Linked DNA regions of Oryzias latipes. The protein of the gene in region 2 purifies or fractionates together with the protein of the main gene of each other region. This does not show direct contact. Links are inferred from orthologs where the notes say so. Each region holds a gene or a part of one and is shown on either strand. Other genes may lie near its edges. The genes, in order: mucosa-associated lymphoid tissue lymphoma translocation protein 1-like and card11.

Region 1 (4,389 bases), on a different chromosome or scaffold from region 2:
CTCTACCTTCAGAGACCTCCTCTGGCTCTGAAACCTTCACCGAAATCCTCGGCGCTTTCAATCAAGAGCAGAAGCAAATGAGAACTGTGCAGACGTTCGGAAAACCTGCTGTCCTTGAAGGCATCAGGAAACGGCGCCCTACGTACCGATGGAGACGTCCACCTCGTTGGTCCACATCCTCTCTCTGCTGCTGCTGATCTCGCAGCGGTACCTGCCGGCGTGATCCGGCGCCACGTGAGGGATCTGGAACGACGCCGTCTGGTTAAACTACAGCCGAGGAATCTGATCGACTCGGAAGAGGAGACGGGAAAAGGTCACCGAGAGCTTTCGCTTGGTGGCGTTCGGGACCGGGACTCCGTTCCGGTGCCACTGGTATCGAGGGATGGGCCGCCCCACGGCGCCACACTCCAGCTGCAGGCTCTCCCCGGCGTGCAGCGTCTGCGACTGCGGCTGGACCACCAGCTTCAACCGTCCGTCCAGGGAGTGGTAGCTCTGCCCTGGAGGAGGCGGAGCAGAGGGGAAGTTCGGTTCTGAGCCAATTTTCCTCTCATAGAAAAAAAACTGTTTTACCAAAAGGTAAGAAATGCAAACCCCTAACTACTAAAAAACTATCTAGTGCCCTGAATTTTAAAAGCAATTCTGACACCACGCTCGCTAATTTGTTCTTTAAGGACGGAAAGGACATCATCGATTTTAGGACTTTCAAATCAAATTGATATCAGTGTTTTGCGATGATTATTTATGAGTCTGATAAAAATGTTGATGATTTATTAAAAAAAATACATTTAATGATACTTTTTGGGGAAAAAATTGTTTCGACGCAATGCATTGTGGTCTATTTTCACAGATCTGGTGAGCATCGATGCACACTGGTTTTTTGCAGAGACTTCTGGGAAATTTCTAGGGCTCTGGATTTTGGAATTGTAGATTTGGAAAATGAACAACGCCCTATAGAGTGAAGTAGGGAGGAATTCCGACACAACCATAAATAATCGTCACAAAACACTCATATCAGTTAGGTTTAAACCTTTTGAAATCGATGATGTCATATCTGCCATTTATAAAAAATAACACGTAGTGAGCGTGGTGTCCCAATAGCTTTTAAAATCCAGGGCACTACATGGTGTTTTTAGTATTTAGGGTGGGAATTCGGACACAACCACAGTGAATCACAAAGTGAGGGGGGCGGGGGGCTTTAAGGTGAATTCCTCAGAAATGAAACCCTAAGTCTGACCGTAAGACACCCCGACGTTCAGGACGTCCACCTGAGCCCACTGGCTGAATTCACAGGCGCCCTCGCCGTTCACCCTGCAGATGTAGAAGCCGGCGTCCTTCAGCTGGACGGAGCTGATCAGCAGGTCAGGAGAGCAGCTGCCAGGAACCTGAGGTGGAGACGCAAGAAATGTCTGCAGCCTGTCATCCACACACGGACGCAGGAAAACCGGGAGAAGTCCGGAACCGTGTGTGTGGTAGCAAACCTCCTCTCGGGACTTGAACCACTGGTACTGCACGTCAGATTTCCCCACGGCGAGGCAGCTGAGGCGAAGGTTGTGTCCAACCAGCAGAGCCACGGACTGAGGCTGCAGGAGGATCTGCAGGGCTGAGGGGGCGGAGAACGTGGCGGGTCAGAAGAACCGCAAAACTTTCTGCAGGCGTGTGCATCTGCAGGTGTGGGTTTCTGCAGTTGTGTGTATTGGTGTGTGTTTCTGCAAGTGTGTTTCTGCAGCTGTGTTTCTGCAGGTGTGTGTTTTTGCAGGTGTGTGTTTGTGCAGGTGTGTTTGTGCAGGTGTGTGTTTTTGCAGGTGTGTGTTTTTGCAGGTGTGTTTGTGCAGGGGTGTTTGTGCAGGTGTGTGTTTGTGCAGGTGTGTGTTTCTGCAGGTGTGTGTTTTTGCAGGTGTGTTTTTGCAGGTGTGTTTGTGCAGTTATATTTGTGCAGGTGTGTTTCTGCAGGTGTGTGTTTTTGCAGGTGGGTTTTTGCAGGTGTGTTTGTGCAGGTGTGTGTTTCTGCAGGTGTGTGTTTTTGCATGTGTCTTTGTGCAGGTGTGTTTTTGCATGCGTGTGTTTTTGCAGGTGTGTGTTTCTGCAGGTGTGTGTTTTTGCAAGTGTGTTTTTGCAGGTGTGTTTTTGCAGGCGTGTGTTTCTTCAGGTGTGTGTTTGTGCAGGTGTGTGTTTTTGCAGGTGTGTTTGTGCAGGTGTGTTTTTGCAAGTGTGTGTTTCTGCAGGTGTGTGTGTGCAGGTGTGTTTTTGCAGGTGTGTATAGGTGTGTGTTTCTGCAAGTGTGTTTCTGCAGGTGTGTGTTTCTGCAGGTGTGTGTTTTTACAGGTGTGTGTTTCTTTAGGTGTATGTTTTAGCAGGTGCGTGTTTTGCAGGTGTGTATTTCTCCAGGTGTGTGCAGGTGTGTTTTTGCAGGTGTGTATAGGTGTGTGTTTCTGCAGGTGTGTGTATGACTCATGTTTGACAGAATAATTCAACATCAGAAAGGTCTGAATTCCAGCTAAGCACGTGAGTGACAGCAGACAACCTTGTGGTTTCAGACACTGCAGGGCTTCCGTGTTCCCCAGAGTCTGCAGGTAGTCGCTCAGATGACCCACGGTGCAGCCTCGATCTCCCATCAGCCTCAGCAGCATGAGGCTGGGGCTCCCTCCCACCTCCAGGACCCTCAGGGAGCACATCTCCATGTGGTCGGAGCTGCAGGAGAAAGAACGCAAACGTGTAGAACCACAAAACATGGCGCTGTTCTCCTTTGTTAAAGGCTTTTCAGAACTTGGTAGGACTTTCCTGAACTTTTTCAGGACCCAAAGCCTCAAAGTTTGTCTGTTAACCCGAGAACGGAAGACGATGCGTGAACGTACCTGACTTCAAAGCGTCTGTCGTTGTTGACGATCTCCCCGAGCCGTCTCCATCCTCTGACGCTTGATTTGTCCAGAACTTCGCAAAGTTTCCTCAGAACAGTTTCTTTCAGAGAGGAGATCTTTGTAGATCTGTCCCAGGCGTCGGACATGGTGGTTCTTCCCCACCGGCCTTTTCTCCGCGCCGGCGACCGTGAACAACAACCACCGCCGGCCGCGAGAACGACAACTTCCTTGAAATTCAGACATACAGAGACACGCCCACTCCACCTTAGGTTTCCCCGGCTGCTCTTTGCCAAAGATCCTCTATGTGTAAAGATGCATTACTCTATGGATAAAAACCCAAAATAAACCCATGTCCTGATGCAAAAATGTTATAAATATCAGATGTTCAAATAAAAAACAACAAAGTAACTAAAATAAAAAAACACGAGACCCAAAATTAATAACTGTAAACTTATGTGTGTCACAAGATAACATGGATGGAGTGTGTCTTCATAATACATATACAATCTTTTGTCTTCAGTTAGATTGGGTAGTTTTGTTGTGACGTAGACAGTCTCCGCCTCCATTACGTCATTTTCATGCGTTCATTTGTTATAGCATCAGTCAAAGGTTTTAGCCGAAAGTCCGTCAACAACAGAACAGTTTTTGTTAGTTTATTTTTTTAAATTATTTAAACATAATCATTACAAAACTCTAACAGACACAACCACGCAAAAATGCAAGTCACAGCTCTTCACAAAAACAAAGATAAAAAACTATAACAAAACAAGAATGTACACATATATAAAAAATATAAAAAACTTTCAGCATAAATTAAAATACAAGGCAAACAACAATCTGGACCCTAGATTTGTAACCATTCTGTAGCAGATTTACAAATGTCATCAATGAATGGATTTGAGTTGGGAATACATTTCAATGATGATAAAAACAGTCTGACTTCATTTTTAAAACACAGGAAATTCAGACGATCTTTTCTCCACTTTTCTTATGAATATGATATTTTCCCAAAATCAGGAGGATGTTCACTAATTTTGTTGTCTCTTTTGGCAACTTACTGTCATAAAACAAAATATATTTTTCTGTGAATTGTATGTTTTAAATTTCTTGACTAAGCCAGTTATGGAAATCTTGCCAGAATCTTTATGATCACTGGACATGAAAAAAACAGCTGTTTGGTTGTTTCTGGGGCTCGTGACAGAAATCACACGGATCAACCTCAAAGCCAAATCCACTCCTCAACGTCTCTGCCGATGGGTAATAATTGTCTATGATTTTGAAACACGTTTCTTGAATTTTGGGGACCATTGGCCATTTTATGAATTTCCATAGTTTAGAACCTGATGTGACAGGTGTCTCAGTTATTTTATATTTCACTTTTTTATTAAAGTCATGGTACAATTTACCTTTAAAGGATTTGTTTAGGTATTTATTATCATTTATTATCATTTTTTTCACTTAGTTTTATTTCTCCTATTACTAAATTTGGTAGTTTAATTTGAACATAGGAAGACAATTTTGTATTTTTTATTAC
Region 2 (3,823 bases):
GGCGCAACCTCAGATATTGAGTTGTTTTACTTCCGGATTGGAAAAAAGCTCAGGAAAATAACTAATATTTAATATAAAAAATGTTATTATGAGTTCCAAAGGTAATGTATTACCATATCCAGTACATAGATATTTTTTCCTACAAAAGGCTTAAGAAAAGCATGGCCCTGTAAAAGAGGGAAACCTGTTTTCTACCTGGTTTGGTTTCATTTGTTATAACTTGAGGTTTTATTTTTTTCATACATTTTGCTCTTTTGTTATTTCGTTTGGTAATCAAAGCAATGGTAAAGACATTACAGTCTACCAGTAAATGTAATTTTTTTAACATTTCAAACACTCTTGCTCTGTTTACTTCAAAAGACATTTTTGCTTTGCTTTCATCTTATTCTTCAAACAGCTTTCTTCTACCTCCACCGAGACTTCAACCCCCTTCTAGCTCTCACATTTTATTTTTAGAAATCTTTCATTTTCTATGTGTGATCCTCTGGTTTTTTAGAGCACAAGTCTTAACTCCCACACAAACAAAGCTTTCATTTTTTCTTTGTCATCTAAAACTTTTTCTGCCTCCTGGAGAGATCCATCTATTTTTCACTAATTTGATAAGAGTTTTTCTCCTTTGTCTTTCTAATGAATTCATCAGCCTACAGAGCATCAGCCATGAATTAATAAAACAATAACACAGCTTAACAAAAGCTTAACATAAATATTTCTAGTCAGCCTTCAGAAAAATGTTATATGGTAGATGTAAGTAATACTGATGTTACAAAATAAAAACAGATTTTCTGAGAACTTTAATCAAACTAGGAAGTGGCTACTTCTGCAGTTCCTCAAAGAACCACCAGAGGCAGGTTTCAAAACCTTCCAGTAAACCACTGTGTTAAATAAGGTTCAGAGCAGAATAACACACAAAAAATACACTTGTGCTCTGCCTGGTCAAAAAACACTTCTTAATATTTGGTGCTTTTATTTGCAGCTCTAGGGGCAGCAGGGAGGGAGGGGATTATCTTTCAATTATAAGAAATCAAGGCAGATTGGGTGATTGGGTGAAGGTTGCAGTCTTGGGTGGCCTAAAAAAAACAGAATCTCTATGGTCTTTCTTGATTGACAGTTCTCCAATTGTTGAGTGAATAGGAGTTACTCTGTATGTTCATGCCACTTTTTTAGCCCTTGTGCTATCCTAGGCACTTTAACATTGGAAGTTGGGTCATCTAGACCCCTGAACTTTTTTCTTCAATGATTTGTAAACTTCACTGGTGTCCATGGATTACATGAAATCCTCTTCACCGTTATCCACCTTTGTCATGGTAGGGAGAACACGTCAATGTAAGGGTGGGGTCATAGGATAGCACAAGGGTTAGGCATTCATGTTCATCATTTAGAATCCTACAGGTAACATCAGAGACAATTGGTTCCGTTAATATATGAATTAGTCTATAAATACAACATAGTTGCCACCTTAAAATAAATTATTAAAGAAATCTTGACCATCAAACAGTAAGAAGAAGAATATATTTATTTCCCTTTAAGCTTCTCTCAGTTTGACATAAATATCTGAATATCTGAATTTATGCTAGGCTTTGTGGTTCCAGACTTTTGATTTTGATTTTTTTATGTCCTAGTAGGTCCTAAACAGGAATGCAATGATTTATCTGAGAATCGTGGCATCCCTAGTCCTAAAATCAAACCAAGGTCCGTCATTCCCCTTACATCCATGAAAAGCATTGTTTCTATGCTCACCTTCAGGCCTGAGCATCTCCAGTTCTTGTCTTGGTAGTAATGAGCTGCCAGAGTTGACAATCCTCACGCGTTCATTGCTGTTCATTCGTTTGTATTTGATGTCCACCCTGCCGACGAACTAGAAACCCAAGAAACCCACAAGAAATGGCACATCAGGGCTCAGATTGACTCATGAGAGTGGGATTGGTTTTCTTTAAATACCTGCAGAATCTGACTGAGGAAAATGCTCGCTCTGGACAAGCGTGGACTGGCTTTGGGATCGAGAGACGAGCTTGTTTCTTCTGGCGCTAAAGTGTTCTAGACAAACATAAAGAATTAATAGAAAGAATATCAGAATCTTTAAGCTGCAAAAGGTAAAGAAGACACAGTGTTTGACCCAAATCGAAGCTAACTTACTAAGTGTCTGCTGAAATCAAATAGCATTGATATGAAAAACTATACAATTGTTTTGTGTAATATGTAGCTTGAATATAAAATCAAGTTTTCACTTACTCTGCTATTGTCAATTTCTTCTTTCCCACTTCGACACACCAACTTTTGAATCTTCACCAGCAGCAGCTGCTGTGCTCTGTACACACCCATTCATACCAAGAGAAAAGTCTTAACAAAACCAAAACTCCTTTTGTCCATTATAAAACATCCTCCTGCATGAGAAAGAACATTAAACAAACAGTTGCAAAGTACCTTGAGTTGCTGGGAATGGTGCCACGCTCGGCCAGGTCAGAGCCACTAAATGGCTCCACACGAGCACAAAGCCACTGGCAGAGGCCCTGGTGCCTGGTATCCAGCACGTGCACAACTTCATCGCAGCGCACGCTTAAAGAGCAGCAGTCGGATTGTCCGGAGATGTTGAGGTTTACTCGGATGTAGAAAGAGTCGCCAGAAGCTAATTTACCATCTGCTAGATCCCTCTGGAGACGGCGATATGCTGGAGAGCAGAAACACAGCATTAACGCACTTTTAAAACAAGACAGACCAGAAGACTAGATTTGACTGGAAGTTCAGAAAAAAATAAATGGTTTGATTTGCTTTCACACTAAAGTTTAGAAAACTGAATAAGTCTAGATGGAATCAAAATATCACGCAGTTTAAGTTAAACTATACATCCTATTAAAGTATTTTTTAAACCCATTTCCTGTCTATATTATCCTCATCCACAAACTAGCCATTTATCCAACTGTAGTGATCCACACTCCTTCATATCTTAGCTGTGGATCATTTTATTTTCGCCTAAAATTTGAAGCCACTTTTGTGATTTCAATAAGTTTACTTCCTCTCTTTAACCCACAGAACAGTCCATTGTATCTTTACTGTGGTGACCACATCAGGGTTCACTTGCAAATTAACAGAGATCCGTATTTCCTGTTTTCTGTGACACAGTTCAAAGATGCACTCCGATCATCTTTTGATCTATTTTCCAACTGTTCCCAGTGGTCTTTTCATTTTGATTATGCCACTTTTAGCCAAAAACAAAAAACTTGTCTTGTTTTCTAGGACATAATTCTGCAAACATTAGAAATTTACCATTGCGTTGTGGGCAGGAAAAATGGCATGGAGCAACCCCGCCCCCTTCCCTTCCCCATTACTGAGAGCTCTCTGTTTACATGCGCTCCTGCTAGCTTACAGCCCCAACATAACATTACCGGTGCAACAAAAATGGTAAGCAGTATTGGAGCTATGCAGCCGTACAGTTTTGAGCCAGATTCCAGCTCAGACAAGGAAAACAAAGACAAACATGTAAGTGATTGTCTACAAGTGGATGCATCAGAACGAAGCTTATGACCCATCCAGCATATTTTCTACGACACAAATAGGCTCTGCTCATTTTCATCTGCCCCCTATTGACATAAAATTGAAAAAAGAAATACTCAGAAATGCCATTTTAAGCTTATTTTATATATATATATATATACACACATACACATACATACATATGTGTATATATGATGATAAGAGAAATGCCACAAAAACATGTTAAAAACACCATTTTCATCAGAGTGTTTCTTTAAATGAGCTTTTACACCTGTCAGACGAGGTAAAATATCCAAATTACCCAATTTTTGTTAGACATTACTGGGTAGATTTT

What was found.
Region 1: the proteins of card11 (region 2) and mucosa-associated lymphoid tissue lymphoma translocation protein 1-like purify together in Homo sapiens (affinity purification with western blotting; 6 studies listed by BioGRID and IntAct, with this or other methods). This does not show direct contact. The link is inferred for Oryzias latipes from reciprocal best matches to the Homo sapiens genes CARD11 and MALT1.

What each region holds. Positions count from the first base shown.
Region 1 is NC_019867.2:1,792,754-1,797,142, forward strand, and holds the start of mucosa-associated lymphoid tissue lymphoma translocation protein 1-like, read right to left. Parts: upstream 3,112-4,389; 5' UTR 3,002-3,111; coding exon 2,853-3,001; intron 2,689-2,852; coding exon 2,522-2,688; intron 1,601-2,521; coding exon 1,479-1,600; intron 1,383-1,478; coding exon 1,235-1,382; intron 498-1,234; coding exon 319-497; intron 244-318; coding exon 147-243; intron 55-146; coding exon 7-54; intron 1-6. UniProt on the Homo sapiens protein: Protease that enhances BCL10-induced activation: acts via formation of CBM complexes that channel adaptive and innate immune signaling downstream of CARD domain-containing proteins (CARD9, CARD11 and CARD14) to activate NF-kappa-B and MAP kinase p38 pathways which stimulate expression of genes encoding pro-inflammatory cytokines and chemokines.
Region 2 is NC_019866.2:18,997,646-19,001,468, forward strand, and holds part of card11 (caspase recruitment domain-containing protein 11), read right to left. Parts: intron 2,666-3,823; coding exon 2,422-2,665; intron 2,306-2,421; coding exon 2,230-2,305; intron 2,035-2,229; coding exon 1,939-2,034; intron 1,856-1,938; coding exon 1,738-1,855; intron 1-1,737. UniProt on the Homo sapiens protein: Adapter protein that plays a key role in adaptive immune response by transducing the activation of NF-kappa-B downstream of T-cell receptor (TCR) and B-cell receptor (BCR) engagement.